Linked DNA regions of Drosophila melanogaster. The protein of the gene in region 3 binds, or shares a complex with, the protein of the main gene of each other region. Each region holds a gene or a part of one and is shown on either strand. Other genes may lie near its edges.

Region 1 (7,591 bases), 5.6 Mb from region 3:
AGCGCATCGTCTACACTCAGTATTTCCCCGACAAAAGTCTGGAGGGCGAGTACGAGTTCGCCGCCAAGATGCTGGGTACTGAGATGAACAGAAAAGGCCACTGGAACCTCACCCTCTACGATTACAGGTGGGCACCGAGTTGCATGGAAATATGTATTTCCCAAGCTGTGTTGCAAACACCAGTATTGTTGATAGCTTTTGGCTTACATGACAACCTATCGCTCACTTTATTTACTTCCTCAGTCAAACCACCAGCGTTAGGCGCATCGGCGGTCCGGGCTCACTCATCAAGGTCCATGTGGAGGTGGACCGCATCGGCGGAATGGAGCTGCACATTGAGAACTTGCTGCAGGGACAGCCCCTCAACCAACTGGCCGATGGAGTCATCAACAGCATGTGGCAGCTGGGATTGCCCTTCATCAAGCCGATGATTAACGAGTTGGTTAGCACGGCATTTACGGATATATTCAACGAGTCCTTCCGGCACTTTCCGCTCGAGAAGTTCCTCGCCACGTGACCTCATCTAGTTAACCATACTGTATCTCTGTATCTCTTTTGTAGTATTTTTAATGGAACTTATAACAAAGGCTAGTTAATTAAACACTTAGACCACATCCGCCAAAGCACTCGGAATTGCTTCGATCTGGGGCTGCGCCACGGACGGTTGCAGGGACATCTGAGCCAGGGATCGGGCAAAGAGCTTGCTTAGCGAGATGATCACGTAGGAGGAGCTCTGCAACTGCTGATCCACCGTTTCGTATAGGAGTTGATAGGCCTGCTCCAGCTCCGGTGTGAGGGTGGCTTGATAATATGGACAAAATATAATTTCAATATGAAATGCTGTAAAACTTAATGATACCAATCTTAAGGGAAATATATGTATTAGGTGTCAGAACTAATATATAAACTACAACAATTTTTAAGAATTCAAGGATACAAGCATAAAGAACTACTGAAATCCGTCGAGATCACGGGAACTATAAAATATTTCGACTGATTTTTCCTTTCATGTGTCTTGTTATTTAGTGTCGATATTTCTCTCTCGTACTCCACATTCTTCATTTTGTTCTTATACACAAACTATTGTTTTAGTTTTTGATACTGCTTATAACTACATTGTATTTACTTACGTTTTTGCTGCAGCGTTTGCTTGCCGAGGTCGAACATGAATCGCAGGTAGCACAGCTGATTGTACAGGTCCCGCTCCGTATACTGACGCAGCAGGCTGCCGCTCCTGCACTTTTGGCACAGCGGGCGGTGGGATTTCTTCCTCAAGGAGTGTGTGCGGGTGTTGAAGTTGCAATCCGGGTGATCGCAGACCAGCCAATTTTTATAGAACCGTTGCACATACTGCCGCATGGAAAGCTGCAGCTGATTGCGCACGCTTGCCAGGTACTGAATCGGTGCCGTTTGGCACTCGGACTTAGCGCATTGCTGGAGTACGGCTATGTGGGAGTTGCTTGGACCCGGTCGGTACGCAGACGCCATCAGCTGCTCCGTCTTACAGGTAACGCACTGGAAGCGGAACGGTTCGCACAGGCGATACAACTGCAGAGTCGTCTTGAGCAGGGACTCACCCTCCGACTGCTCGGTGTTCTCTCGCTGGGTTCTACATAACCAAAATATTCGTTAGGTTAGAGTTTGTAAGGAGTAATAAGATAGTAAGTACCTCTGCGCATTCTGACGGAACTTGGTTGGGTCCATGCCCAGACACTCGGCGATGCGACTCGCATCGGTTCCCTCCAGCACCTCCACCATTCGCGTGACTACCGGATGGATCTGGTGTCCCAGGTAGTAATTCGTGTCCAGCTGCAGCTTCTTATCCTCACTGGTCTTGAGCTCATCCAAATGGTATGCTCGCTGCATGGCAGCATTTGTTGTCCCATCCAAACAGATCACATAGTCCACCATATCGCCCTTTTTGTACCGCCTATTACGCTCGCGATTCATACGAAGGGCCACCTGGACGTGGGGCAATGAAGCACTATTGGCATATTCCTGGGGAGTCCGAGTTAACTGTTTGGTGATGACAAACAGTGGCAGCGGTACTACACCCTCTGCAATTTGAGTTTTGATCTTCTCCAGTTGGGCATGCACTGCATCCAGTTTCTCCTCCAAAGGCTTTTCCGACAGCACTTCATCGAGAACGGCTTTTCCCACCATTACAGCCAGCTGAGACCAATCGCGACGTACTATATCCAGGCCCTTGTGCTCCTGTTCACGCCTCAGGTTTCCCTTGGAATCCTTGCTCAACTTGATAGCGGCATACTTCTTTTTCTTCAGCAAGAGCAAACAGCCAAATACTCCATCGATATCCAATTCCAGCTGCTTGTATAGTTTATTTACACTCTGCTTAATATTGTGACCAATCTTGTAGACCTGGTCGTAGTCGGTTATGTTGGTATTTATCATCAGGGAATCTGTGTCTCCATAAACAACGTCATAGTTCATCTTTTGCACGAGTTGTTGTGTGTTCGTGAGGATTTCTCTGCCCTTGTGGGTGACCAAAGCAGCCAAGTGCTGGGCAAAGAACCGGGAGTGGGCGAAACCCAAGCAACCATACATGGAGTTCGCAGTTAGCTTCAGGGCCATCTGCCGAATGTGGTACTGCATCTGGAGTTCCGGCGAAAGATCAGGCGCTGCCATTAGCTTTTTCACCTCTTTTCGCGACTCCACCAAGCGTTTCAATTGAAGGGGTAAGATTCCAGGTTCCGTTTTCGAGTCGGGTAGGGTGGGCAACTCATCTGCATCCACCGGCTGTTGGACGGTGGTGAAGCATATGTTGTACTCCTGTATTATACTGGGGTACAGGGAGTTAAAGTCCATGAGGAGAACGTACTTCTCGTAGAGACCACGCATGGGCTCCAACACTAAGCCACCAGCATAGGCTGCCTTCTTTTTGGTTTGCATCGTCGCATCTGCACCTGAAAGCGTAGCATCCGTATCTCCTGCACCACTTCGTTTAGAAACCGGCTTCTTGTCCGGCACTATGTAATTCTTCTCGTGGAAGGCATGCAGCAACAAGAACTCATTTCGTTCAGAACGACCTCCTTGAAGGGTCCTGGTCATGGTATTGCCGCAGATATTAGTGATTTGTAGCGCCAACGGCATGATGTTGAGCTCACACATCAGCCTTAGTAAATATGAATTGTCCTGCATGGTGAGCGATATGAGCTTGGTAATGCTTTCTCCTTTCTCATACATCTCTAGCAGATCATCGGCATTCACTTCCATTCTCTCCGATTCCTTAAGCTTCAGTACTTGTTTGCATAGCGTTTGCAGATCATAGGATCTTGCTCTTATACACTCCTCTGCAGATCGCTTTACATCACAAACCATTCTGCCGACGAAATGTTCCAGCAATCGCTTGCCAAACGATTGGCTCAGCCTCAGTCGCCCCATTCGAGACCATTGGGGAATCTTCAGGGCTACAATTTGATCGGTTATTACATTTAGTTGACAATCCATGGAATCGAAGGTTACAATGAGATCTGCATCTATTTTCTGGTACTGAGCTAAGAACCAACTCAACAGGGCTCTCTCTGAGTCATGTTTGTGCACTGTGGTAGACTTATATTTTGCCATCTCAAAGTTCAAATCTAAAGGCCAACTAACCACCGCCGGGCGAGTCAAAGCGCACATATGTCGATTGAAAGCGGGCTGTGGAGCAGGGCGGTCGATATGGAAACGATTGTGGGTCAGCATGGAAATCATGCATATCTCGTTTCTCGATGTTTTCGGATTCATTGAGGTGCGAACATTAAGCGATAGTAGCGTAAGTGGAGGTGGTGGCGCTGGCTTTCCCTTATCTTGCACCAACTCTACATTCTTGGGCTCTGTCAATGTGACCTCGGTGTTACACCAACTCATGGGAGTTGGGCTCACCTTGAATCCAGTCACCTGCAGCCAACAGGGACCTTTGATTTTCCGATCTAAGAGGAATCTTTCGAGTGCATTGGTGGTGGCGCCGAATATGTGTGCTATAGAATTGTATTTCTTGTCAGCCGACAAATTGGGCAGTGGTTTCTTTCCATCGTAGTGAACCTCCAAGTAATCGCAAGATTGCGGAACTTCAATACCGATAGCGTGATGGGCAAAACTCTTGGTGACCTTGCGGGATCGAAAGAACTCGAGCTTCAGTTGGTTTGCCACCTCGCTGTCGAACTCCTTGTATATGTCTGCGACGGTCACCTTCTGCTTGGTGGGCTCCTTCGAAATGGGATCTAAGAGCTAAAAGAATATATTCAGAAACAACACTTCACCTAAGGACTAAGTATTTGTAGAATAATACTCACAAATTGTCGGGGCAGCAGATAGAGCACACGGTTGATGTTCTGTACACGCAGACAGACGGACTTTCCATCTGCGGTCCGACCGAACAGGAAGACTTCGCCGGGCATTTTTACTGGATCCTCATAGGCCTCCCAGTACCAGAACCGAAGCTGTTGATCTGAGGAGATTGTCGAATCCTGCTCCGTGGTGAGCACGGACTTTTCAAAATCATCGTCCATTTGGCATATAGACTCCCAATTGTTCAGCAACCTACTAATGTCCTCCGATTCCGATTCCTTTGGCGATCCAGTTGTTTCTTTTTTGGGAGCTGATTTTTCGGCGACTTTGCTTTGGGATGTTTTCTCAGCTGCTGTTTTCGTTTGGGAAACCTTCTCGGTCTGCTGTGTCTTCTCCACATCAAACTGGTTTTCATCGTCATCCAGACAGCTAAAGTCCATTTCATTGTCGGAGAATGGATCTTCGGTGGCTTTTTTTGCAGGTGTCTTTTCAGGCATGGGCTCTTTTTTGATTGTAGGACTGGAGAAAAAGGCCACCTTTGTGTTTGGAACTGCTGCCTTGGGCTTCAGAATGCGCTCCAGCATCTCGTTATCGCTACTGGCCTCCGCTTTCTTACGTTCCTGCTCCTGAACTTTGATGTTGTTTAGAAAACTATTCATGTATTCCTTGGCAGCGGCGGCATCGAATTTACGCGACGTAACTGATATTTTCGCTGGGGCTATAACCTTTTCCGCCTTTTCTGACGTCGCTGCAGGCTCTTCCTTTATTTCGCCCAAAATATCAGCAAGGATATCATCGTCTTTCACACTGGTCTTTACATCCATCTTTTTGGGCACTGCATTGCTGAATAGATTCTTGATGGATGCTTTTCCTGTTACTGGTTTTTCATTCTCCCGTGGTCTCTTTTTGCTGTTGGGGGCAACACCCTTCTTCTTCTTCGAGTCCTTCCGATCCTCCTCCCCATCGGAGTACTCATCTTCGTCCTCGAAGAAATCCCGAAGATCTTCTGCATAACCAGTACCATCTAAAAGTTAAAATTTAGTATTATAAAGTATAGAGTTCAGAGTTCCAACTTACCCTCTTCGATCCAATCGTCACCGTACTTTTCCTGCGCCCTCTTCGCGTACTCCCGCTCATCAACCACATCGTATACATCGTCCACCTGGTCCTCCACTTTGCATTTGTTCTTGGTTCCCTTCAGCTGACGCAGTCGCTCCATGGCGGCGAACCTACCATTTTTGTCTACTCTCTGGCGCTTAGCGCGCGGTTCAGCTGGAAATTTATAATTTCGGTAAAAAATATGTTTAAGGGAGTTATCTTATTAACTTACACGGTGATTCAGACATTGCAACTGGCTAACTTTGATAATAATTTCCCCGTGTTGTGCTGCAGTTTGCAAAAATTGTTTTGTGACCAGGGCTGGAGGATGATCAAAGCGGGAATGGCGGGAACATATCGATAACAGAGCTACGATACATAAAGCGCTGCCGGACTTTTGCAATGTAATATCGATAGTGTCGTTAAGAAGAGGAAGAATGTAAGGAAATTAAAAAAAATAAAAGCCATACAATAACTTAATCCCAAATTGCAATTTTATTATTAAGTAACATCTCTATTTTATGAATTTCTGAGTGGTAATATATCGATAGGTGGCAGCGCGTTATGTTAGCTCTGGGCACTGTTAGCGTCTAATCTGTAAGCACAAATGATCGATTACAGTTAACACGAATAGTTAACATAACAGTTACAGCGATTTAAAATGACTGCTATATTTTGGCGGGAAATCCGACCTGATAATTGAAATGAATTCACCAAGTAAGAAAGAACAATGATCACCATTTAAAGGGCGTTCTTTTAGATTTTACATTTTCGAGCTTCAGCTTTTTAATTGCAGTGGATCACAAAAAGAAAAACTTTTCCATTAGCAGTTGCTCCATGAAGATCCCCTTTTAATGTGCTTGTCATATGTTTTTATTCCCAAATTAAAAGACAATAGTTTGTTTGGTTTTAATCGTATTTTATTTATCATGCATAATATTAGGCTTATAAGATATATATAATATTATACTTTAAATACAATATACAGCAATTTCGATTAAAATTTGTGTGGATTTGAAAGGTGATTTCATACCCTATATAATTATCAATGCAAAATCATGGTTTATATATATACACACATACACAAAACAGACTTACATATTACATGAATACATATATTTATGACTATATTTGCTGTTTAATTGTTATAAGCAAAAATTCGTACATATTTACAATTTAATAGTAAATATTTAGAATTTCTGCACTTGCAGTCGTTATATTTTACAATTATTTTCGGGTGTGTTGGTGAGGAAAGATTTCGGAAGATGAGAAAATATGGAAAATACTGTTTTAGGATAGGGTGATCGAGAGGAACTATAGAAAGGATATTAAAATGTCAGTCTACCAGAATGTACAGCAAAGCAGATAAAATAAGATAAAGGAGGGCAGTTAAGCAAAGCAGATAAAATAAGATAAAGGAGGGCAGTTATTTAGGATCCTTGAGGTATTTTCTTTAGCTATGGGGTGTGTTATTCATTTCTATATGGTTTTCATTTTTATTTCAAGCCACAGACATGGCACAACAATTTATTATGTTTTTTTTTTATGTTTTAAGGAATTTTTCTCCGTGTATGGTTTCCATAGTTTTGGCTAAACATTTAACAACAGCAACAAATATAAAAACAACAAGAAATAATCGTTAACAAGTGCAAGATGATACTGAAATGAAAAGAGAAGAAAAAGAATCAATGAATAATTCAGTTTACAATTGGTTTAATATTATACTATGTTATTATGTAACTATATTAAATCAGAATATAAAGTGGGTTGCAATTCTTATTCCAGTATAATTACATTGCTTGCTTAAATGTATTTCATATTTTTCTAAAGTTTATTTTGTATCAAAGAATTATCTTGATCTGGAGTATTCTTAAAAATACTTAAAAAACAAAAAGTAAATGTTATTACCTTGCTCTGTGCCTGCACAGATGCAACAGATGCTAGACCCACTGTTCACGCCCTTCACACCACCTGCACGGTGGCAAAGGCACTAAAGGTGACCTTCTTGGGGAACTCCGGTCCGGGGGAGCCACGCGTCTTGATCACCGGCTTGAGAGGCTGGCGGGGCTTCAGGGAGAGCAGTCCGGCGGAGGCGGCCAGTTCCCTGAGGCGCTGGGAGAAGCCGCTGCCTGAGTGACCGGAAGTGGTGGCCGCGTTGTGGTGCTCCAGTCCAGCGCAGTCCAGAACATCCAGGCCGTTGTTC
Region 2 (4,160 bases), on a different chromosome or scaffold from region 3:
GGAGATCCTCGACTTGAGCTCGAACCATGTGGGCAATTGGTACCGCAGTGCCTTCCACAACAACTCCGCCCTAAGGGTTTTGAACCTGAGAAGCAACACCATCAACATGCTGTCCAACGAGATGTTGAAGGACTTTGAGCGATTGGATTACCTTAGTCTCGGGGACAACGACTTTATTTGCGACTGCCATTTGAGAGCGGTGGTGGAGGTGGCGGCCGCCAATAATAAAGATGCAGACTGCTCCTATAGACTGCTGAACTATAGTCAGAATGCCGTAGGTGAGGAGGTAATATCTCTGGCGGAGTCACTAATTATAGATCGCAAGCTATGGCAGAGTCGCTATATTCCCTGGCTGCAGAGAAGTTACTCCAACATCAGGGAGTTCAATCGCGCGAATCATATAATCAAGCTGCGCTTCTCCTCCGAGGACTACATGGTAGCCAAGTGCTCCGCGGCCCAGCCATACCACTTAGGGGACCTTGACGGAGATCTTACCCTAAAATTTCAGCTGCTCGACTACGAGGCCAGTCAGTATTACTGCTTCAACAACACCGATCAGCTCCAGGTGGATGAGCTCAACTGCCAGATCAGGTCGATGAGTGACCTCGCCGAGGAGTTGCACCACGTTACGAACACAGTGATCGCAGTCATGGGCAGCTTAGTTGGCGCTTGCATCCTGGGATTTATAATTTATCTGAAGCGCTGGCACATCCACTACTATTACTCTTCCCTGAAGTCCGCTGCCTTGTTGTCCAGTGCGTCCAAGGAGTCGGTGAATAAATTCACAAACATATCCCAGAGAGATCCCAGTGCCGTCTACGATATCTTCATCAGCTACTGCCAGAATGATCGGACCTGGGTGCTCAATGAACTGCTGCCGAACGTGGAGGAAACTGGGGATGTGTCCATTTGTCTGCATGAAAGAGATTTTCAGGTGAAGCGTACTTATCTTACAACATTAACTTACTAATAAAGTGAAACCTTAACCCTTAATTCACATGCAGATTGGAGTGACCATCCTAGATAACATCATCTCCTGCATGGATCGCTCGTATTCCCTTATGCTGATCATATCCTCCAAGTTCCTGTTGAGTCATTGGTGTCAATTTGAAATGTATTTGGCACAGCATCGGTAAGGAATCTTTATCTGTAAAATTCAAATATTAAAATCAATATATGTGTGTATATTGTAGCATCTTTGAGGTCAGCAAGGAGCACTTGATCCTGGTTTTTCTGGAGGACATTCCACGGCGAAAGCGACCCAAGACTTTGCAATATCTCATGGATGTGAAAACGTATATAAAGTGGCCGACGGCCAAGGAGGATCGAAAGCTGTTTTGGAAACGTCTGAAGAGATCCCTGGAGGTCATAGGGATCAACTCCAGAGAGATCAGTGTTTAGAAAACATGTAATTTTATCCGGAGAGTTCTAGTCAGTTGTGCACGTACCTGATATAGTATATAAACTACTTAATTACACTTTCATGAAGACGAAAGTTTCCCCACAGTAATCATAGTAATATGCAAAATTTGCTGCTGAACATAAGTATAGTTTAAACATATATTAATAAATAAAGGTATTTAGGTTTTTAAGAGCTTATGTGATGTTTTTGAAATATCTTAACAAAGGCAATAGCGTCGTATATTAAACATAACCTACTACTACTGGACACTATGTAAACAAAGCTAAGGCCTAAGAAATATCTAACAATGCAACACACAATCAATACATCAGTACCAATTGACTGATAATAACAATTAAAAACGTTTAATTTTGAAATACAAATTGAATAAACCGCAAGCATCGATAATGAGCAGAAAACTATCGATAACAACTGACACAGCTGATATTTGCCATCAGTAGTTTGCGCGCCAAAACAACAAACGGGCATTCCACAAATTGTAAATTACTATAGCAATTCCCGCGACTCACAATGGAGTTTGGTCTGAAGAAACGCGCGAGACATGAGGTGAAGGTGGAGGTGGCCAGCCTGGAAACCAAGTACCCGCACAACGTCATGCTGTACCACTATCCGCCGACGGAGGACGTGCACATAGACGAATTCGAGGAGCTGGCTCTAGAGCGCTTGCGCCTTCTCCGCGTCCTGGATCGCGCAAGCACCCGGAACCTGCGCGTGCTCTCAGATGAATGGAAGGAAATCGTGAGTGCGGACCTGACCCGCGAGGGATTGCGCAGCTATTTAAGGCTCTGCTCCACCGGCGGAAGCGCCAAGCACGAGGCGGATATCCAGACCCGCAGGCGGGACTATCTTTCGCACTTCATCTTGCGGCTGGCCTACTGCCGCTCCGAGGACCTTGCGCGCTGGTTCGTGGCCCGCGAAATGGAGCTCTTCCGGTACAAATTCGCTGCACTTAGCAGCTTCGAGGTGAAGCAGTTCCTTGAGGCCAACGGCTTTGAGATTCACCCCCTCACCGAGGCCCAGAAGGACGAAGTCAAGGACGGCCTGTACGAGAGCACGGTCGGACAGAGCGTGGCGAAGATCGAGCTGTTGGACTTCTACAAGGTGCCCTTCACCCAGGTGCTCGATCTGGTGCGCGGACGTCGCTGCTTTTTAAAGGCTGGCTACGCCTATGTTAACACCCACGACCTGGTGTCCCTAGTGGGCACCAAGCAGCAGGACGAGATCGAGCAAGGCCTGCAGGCTGCTAAGACTATGGTGGAGGATGTAGAAGCCGACGAGCGCATCTCCCGCACACTTAAAGCTCTACATAACTCGTATACCGGTAGGGATTACACCGTTTGTCGGGATGCAGCTGTGCCCATCGAGTCGCTCGATCAGCTCTCCAAGACCTCCATGCCGTTGTGTATGCGCATGTGCCACGAGCACATTCGTGCCAACCATCACATAAAACATAGCGGCCGAATGCAATACGGCCTGTTTCTCAAAGGAATTGGCGTGGCACTGGAGGATTCGCTGCGCTTCTGGCGCGAAGAGTTTACCAAGAAAATGGACGCGGATAAGTTTACACGCAGCTACGAGTACAATATTTACCATAACTACGGAAAGAAGGGTTCCATGGTCAACTACACACCCTACTCGTGCGCCAAGATTATCAAGGATGTGGCGGGGCCGGGCGATTGCCACGGCTGTCCGTATAAGAACATGGATCAGGGCTCGTTGAAAACCAAGCTGTCCTCCTATGGCCTGTCAGCCAGTGCCATCGACGAGGTGATGTTCTTTGTGTCCCGCGGTCACTATCAAATTGGATGCGGCAAGTACTTCCAACTTACCCACAATTCACCCGTCGAGCCGAGCATCAATCACCCCAACAACTACTTCGAGGAGAGCCAGATAGCGATGGGCAACCGGCAGAAGCGCGCCAATGGTTCTGCTCCGCCCAAGGCCAGAATCCGTCCAGATATCAAGGGCCATGGGGATCGGTCCATGCTGATGGGTGACGATGACGATGAGTTGTGGCGAATCGCGGAAACCCAGGAGCGTATCATGCAGAGCCAAAAGGACATATCCGAGGCCTTCAATGATGATCTAGATCTTACGCAAATCGATTACTAAACGTTGTACAACATAAATTAACTAAGGTACATATATATTTAAGCATCGTAAATAAGAAAAGTTATATTATTCCATGGTTCGGACTTCACCTCCGGCACAAGTAGCACGTTTTAAGCCTAGGATCAACAGTGTTCTCCGAGTTTCGGCCGTAAGGGGGCCAGCCATTGACATCTACGTAGTAGATGCCCCTGGCTTGGGGATTCATTCGATAGCCCATCGGGGAAACTATGCCAGCAGAACAATCCCGTTTTCTTAGCTCATCCCAAGAAGCGCACTTCTTGCCCATAAAGTTCTTCTCTTGGTGTGGATATGCACTCTCGGCGAAATACTCAACGGCTCGGGTATGAGAGCATCCGATGGTTAGGCAGCCTGGCTGGATGGGATGTGCTCCGCCGGGATAGAAGTCCACATCACCGAGGGGTCCACGCTTGGCCAAAATACCAATGTTGGTGTGGATTATGTCCACTAGCTTGGCATCGCCACGCGTCAATCCTGGCAGAATCTTTTCCCGCCTGAAACATGGCTTGGCCGGATCCAAGCCAGTTATCCTGGGTATAAGTTTTCCGGTAAGCTTCTTAAAAGTCCGACCAGCAGTGCCCATAATGTGAGCTCCTAGTGAATGTCC
Region 3 (4,505 bases):
CAGCCACTCGCCATCGACGGATACCCGGAAATTGCACAGGTAAATGGTGTCCTGGACACCGCCGGCTAGCTCCTCGCTGGTGTTGGCATGCGATGCCTTTGGCAAGGCAATCGTATTGCTGCTGTTGCTCGCCTGTTGTTGCTGCAACACCAGGGGTTGCTGCTGTGTCTGTTGCGGTTGTGGCGGCTGCTGTTTCGGCTGCACTTGTTGTGAGGGTGGATTCTGACCCTTTTGGCTCTTCGCCGCTGCTGCTTGCGCCCTTGTTGTTGCCGTTGCTCCAATTGCTGTTGCTGTTGTGCCAGTTGGAGTTGCTGCCGTGGCGGACTTTGCAGACTTGCCTACTTGTTGTTGCCCCGTTTGAGGCGCCTTCTTGGCAGCCATTGTTCCTGACGACAATGACGTCGCGCTGCCCGATGTTGGCGTTTTCACTGCACTTCTCAAGGGCTTCGAGCTGCTGCCGCTGGCACTTGATCCTGTTGCAAGGCTGCTCGACTTGATGCGACCGCTGCCGCTGGTGCTGCTGAGGTTGTTGTTGTTCGCCGACGACAACTTGGTCCTTTTTGTATCCTCGACAAGTCCACGCATTTCGCTGCTGCTTCAAAGTACGCCTGAGTAGTGTGTGTGTGTGCGTGGGCGTCCATAAAAATACAGATATATACATATATCGATATTAGCTGTTCAATAAGTTCCGAGTTTCCTTTGCTGCCGCTTTCCCTCAACTGTTTTTTCATTACCTTAGAGGGGTTTTTTCCTTTTGTAAACCTCTTTTCCAGAGGGTTTTACTTCTGAAATTAACAAAATAACCGAAAGTTCTCGCCGCTTTGATTTTGCACCGTTATCCTGTTGTGTACGCGTTGAGTAAGACTGGCAAAAAGTTCTTTATCCTATTGATTTGTCCAGTGCGCCAAGCTCGCAAGCTCCTCGCGAGCTTTCGTTGGGGGTGTTCTCGATGGTCACGCTGTGTGTGGTGCGCAAATCACCTTTGACACTTTCCCAATGCACTTTTAAGTTATTTTTAATCATATTATTTATACAAGTACCGAAATATTTCAACGACAGTTTCGCACAGCCCACGAAATTGCTAATACTAATTAATAAATACATTTTAGAATAGTTTTGAGTACCTAAATTGTTATATTAAATATATATGTGTATATATTTATATATATTATATATAATATATTTTATATATGCAACATTATTACTTAACATATTATTATTAGCGCACAATGGAAATTTGGTTTCCATTGCTGCTTATCATCGAATGAATAATAATTCGGACTCACCGCGTTTCAGTCGCTTTGCTTTCAGTTTCGATGGCGACGGGGATGAAGCACTGGCGCTCGCCACCGTGTCCGGCGCAACAGGTACAACAGGTGGTGCGGGCTCGTCGGGATACGGGTACGTGGTGGTGCCATCGATTACCTCGGAAGAGGCGGCTGCTGCGGCCGCATTCGAGAACTGTGTGGATATGTGGCTGAAGATCTGCGAGGAGATGCTCTCCGTGCGCCGGAAGGTGTTCCGCAGGCGGTCCAGCGATGACGTGGGGGCGCTGGGCGCAGGCGCGGCACCTCCGGTGGTGGGCGTAACCGGAATGGAGACACTCGAGGATTGGGAGTCTTCACTCCTTTCGCGGCGCACCAGCAGATCGTCCGTGCTCATGGCGAATCACTTGCTTCGCGGCGATTATCAGGACACTGTGCGGAGTCACATGAATCAAAATGACGCGATTACAGCCGCTAATTTCGCTTGTTTTGCGCTTGAACGCGGGTAAACAAAAAAGTTTGTCAATACAAAATTAAAACAGCTGTTGCACTGCGATTGGGGATGGGCGATAACAATCACTGGTTACAGATCACGGTTATCGCAGCTCGATGGGAGCTGTTATGTTATTGAACTGACTATGCTTATCGATAAGAAAACTCAAGCAGGTGTTAAAAGCATCATAGGGTGGCAACACTGTGCCCACTTTTACCGCCAAAATAAATTGCTAGGTTTATTTACGAAAATTAAACGCCCAACGAAAGGACAACGAATGGAGGAGGAATTGAAGCAGCAGTTCGACGAGATGGGCGTGGAGCCAGCGGACGCAGTTCTGGGCAGGTGTGCGGAGCTGGCCATTACCTACAACATCCACGACGCCACCGAGTTCGTGGAGCAGTGGATGGCCTTCAGTTTGTCGCACCTCCAAGGCGAGGATCCTGCGATCGAGAATCTGGGCGACTTTGAGCGCAAGGTGTTGCAGCTGCGGAAGGACAAGGCGGGATACAAGGCAACTGGCCAGAAGGCGAAATCATATGGTTCGCCCTCTGTACAGGATACGAGCTCACTGGCCACCTATGGCGTCATGGAGGACGATCCCATGCTGGATGACTATGTCAGCGAATCGGCAGTGGACTCCTCCGCTCTGCACACGCCCAAGGCCAAGAAGCAGTCGGATCGGACCGCCAATCTCAAGGGCGCCGCACTCTTTAGCCCCGCCAGCTATACACCCCAATCGGCAAAGAGGAAAGCAGGTTTAGAAACACCATCCAACTCAGTGGCCGGCAAGCCGGGCGATATAGTTGACACCTTCGGACATCCCAAACTCCTGGCTGGCTCCAGCTGGCAGTCACAAATGGAGCACACGGTTCCGGTGACTCAAAAACTGCTGCACAACGACGCCCCGCTGACCATCGCAAATTTGGGCTACATGAACGACCTGCTGACCGACCGATGTCACAACCTGCGCGTCCGCTTCAACCAAACCGGTCCGGCACTAGTGGACAAGAAACTTGGACAAGCAGGCGCAGCCGAGTGCATTTGGTATCCGCAGGATAGGCAGGTATTGCAGTCCGCAGGTGGACTCCACGCGGTGGGAATGATTCATTCCGAGGACGATGGCCCACTGGACGCCCACTCCGCATTTATGGCCGTTTTAGATGACGATGTAGAAGATGAAATGGACCCAACGCTCACGCTCAACTTCTCCAGGGTCAAGTCTGCCAGCATATTCCCAGGTCAAGTGGTGCTCGCCAAAGGGTTCATACCCAGGGGCAAAACCTTCATGGTAGAGGAGATACACACAGAGCGCAAACTGACGCCAGCAACGCCACTGCAAATAGACAGGGAGCTTCAGTTTGTGGTGGCCTCCGGACCCTTTACGGACAGTACGGATCTCTTCTACGAACCGCTGCACGACCTGCTCAAGTACCTCAAGGATCACAGACCTGACGTGCTGGTGCTCACGGGACCATTCCTGGATGCCGATCACAAGATGGTCGGCGAACTGGCCGAGACCTTCGATACATTCTTCGAGAAGATGATTGGGGGAATAATGGAGTCGATTGGTAGTCACACAGCAGTGCTGGTGGTGACCAGTCAGAAGGATGCCATGGCTCTTTCCGTATATCCAACGCCGCCGCCCGCTCTGCGCAGAACCTATCCAAATCTATACATGCTGCCCGATCCATCTCTGGTGGACTTGGATGGCTTTACGCTGGGCGTTACCTCAACCGACGTGGTGGACCACCTGTTGAGTCACGAGTTTGCTGTGAATGCCGGCGAGCGGATGCACAGGGCCATCAACCACTTGTTCCACCAGGGCTCCTTCTATCCTTTGTATCCGCCGGCGGACGAAGACATGGCCTACGATTCCCAGCTGGCGTTGAAATATGCACAGCTCAAACAGCTACCAAATGTGCTCATCTTGCCCAGCGATCAGCGGCATTTCATCCGCTTGGTCAACGACTGCCTGGTGATCAATCCCGGCCGTGTCGCGGACAAGAAGGGTGGAACTTTCGCCCGATTCCTGGTGGCGCCTTCGGTGCCGGGAAAGGCGGCCAACATGTTCAACAGTGTGGCGTGTCAAGTCCAACGCATCTAACCTGACCACTTTGTGATGATGATAAGGAAAGGATAGTGGGAAATAGATCAGTACAATATTATTAGTTAATATAATGAACACACTACTTTGTCATAACTTTTCACAAAATACATTCAACAACAAACAACTAGCATTAGTTATTTTGGGCCAAAGTAGGTATTGTATTATTTGTAAACATATGCCCTGGAGTTTTCTCAGACTCAAGTTTTATATACAACAAGATCAATAATGGCTAGCAACGTTGCTGCGCCACAAGCTTCAGCTGGAGGAGATTCGACGGAACTGGAGCGCTGTTGCTGGATCTGTTTTGAGACCGATAAGGAGGCAGGTCGCCAGGCTTGGGTGAATCCATGTCTCTGCCGAGGAACCAATAAGTGGGTGCACCAGAGCTGCATTTCCCTCTGGATCGACGAGAAGACCCGAATAAACAACAATCTGCAAGCCGTTTCCTGTCCACAATGCCAAACGGAGTACACCATTGCATACCCGAATCTCTGGATTTTCGATAGGGCTTTGGAGCTGACCAACGATCTTATCCTAACAAACTTATATAATTGCCTGGCCAATGTCTTCACGGTGGTCTTTGCCTATTGGTCAGCGGTTTCATTCGGAGCAAAAACATATTTGCAGATCACTGGTC

Evidence for each region. The genes of interacting proteins can lie anywhere in the genome.
Region 1: PolA2 (region 3) and PolA1 share a complex: the UniProt entries of both Drosophila melanogaster proteins name them as parts of the alpha DNA polymerase complex.
Region 2: PolA2 (region 3) and Prim2 share a complex: the UniProt entries of both Drosophila melanogaster proteins name them as parts of the alpha DNA polymerase complex.

Annotation. Positions count from the first base shown.
Region 1 is NT_033777.3:21,666,010-21,673,600, forward strand, and holds PolA1 (DNA polymerase alpha subunit 1), read right to left. Parts: upstream 5,742-7,591; 5' UTR 5,637-5,741; coding exon 5,621-5,636; intron 5,563-5,620; coding exon 5,368-5,562; intron 5,315-5,367; coding exon 4,296-5,314; intron 4,231-4,295; coding exon 1,670-4,230; intron 1,610-1,669; coding exon 1,131-1,609; intron 802-1,130; coding exon 605-801; 3' UTR 553-604; downstream 1-552. Other genes in the region: Jhbp16 (juvenile hormone binding protein 16), read left to right, coding at 1-127, 244-517; CG31176 (uncharacterized protein), read right to left, coding at 7,351-7,591. UniProt on the Drosophila melanogaster protein: Catalytic subunit of the DNA polymerase alpha complex (also known as the alpha DNA polymerase-primase complex) which plays an essential role in the initiation of DNA synthesis.
Region 2 is NT_037436.4:20,359,281-20,363,440, reverse strand, and holds Prim2 (DNA primase subunit 2), read left to right. Parts: upstream 1-1,855; 5' UTR 1,856-1,933; coding exon 1,934-3,535; 3' UTR 3,536-3,608; downstream 3,609-4,160. Other genes in the region: Toll-9, read left to right, coding at 1-934, 1,005-1,132, 1,194-1,401; CG5665 (uncharacterized protein), read right to left, coding at 3,621-4,160. UniProt on the Drosophila melanogaster protein: Regulatory subunit of the DNA primase complex and component of the DNA polymerase alpha complex (also known as the alpha DNA polymerase-primase complex) which play an essential role in the initiation of DNA synthesis.
Region 3 is NT_033777.3:27,237,239-27,241,743, forward strand, and holds PolA2 (DNA polymerase alpha subunit 2), read left to right. Parts: upstream 1-1,924; 5' UTR 1,925-2,035; coding exon 2,036-3,865; 3' UTR 3,866-3,990; downstream 3,991-4,505. Other genes in the region: CG31064 (uncharacterized protein), read right to left, coding at 1-585; CG17991 (uncharacterized protein), read left to right, coding at 4,094-4,505. UniProt on the Drosophila melanogaster protein: Accessory subunit of the DNA polymerase alpha complex (also known as the alpha DNA polymerase-primase complex) which plays an essential role in the initiation of DNA synthesis.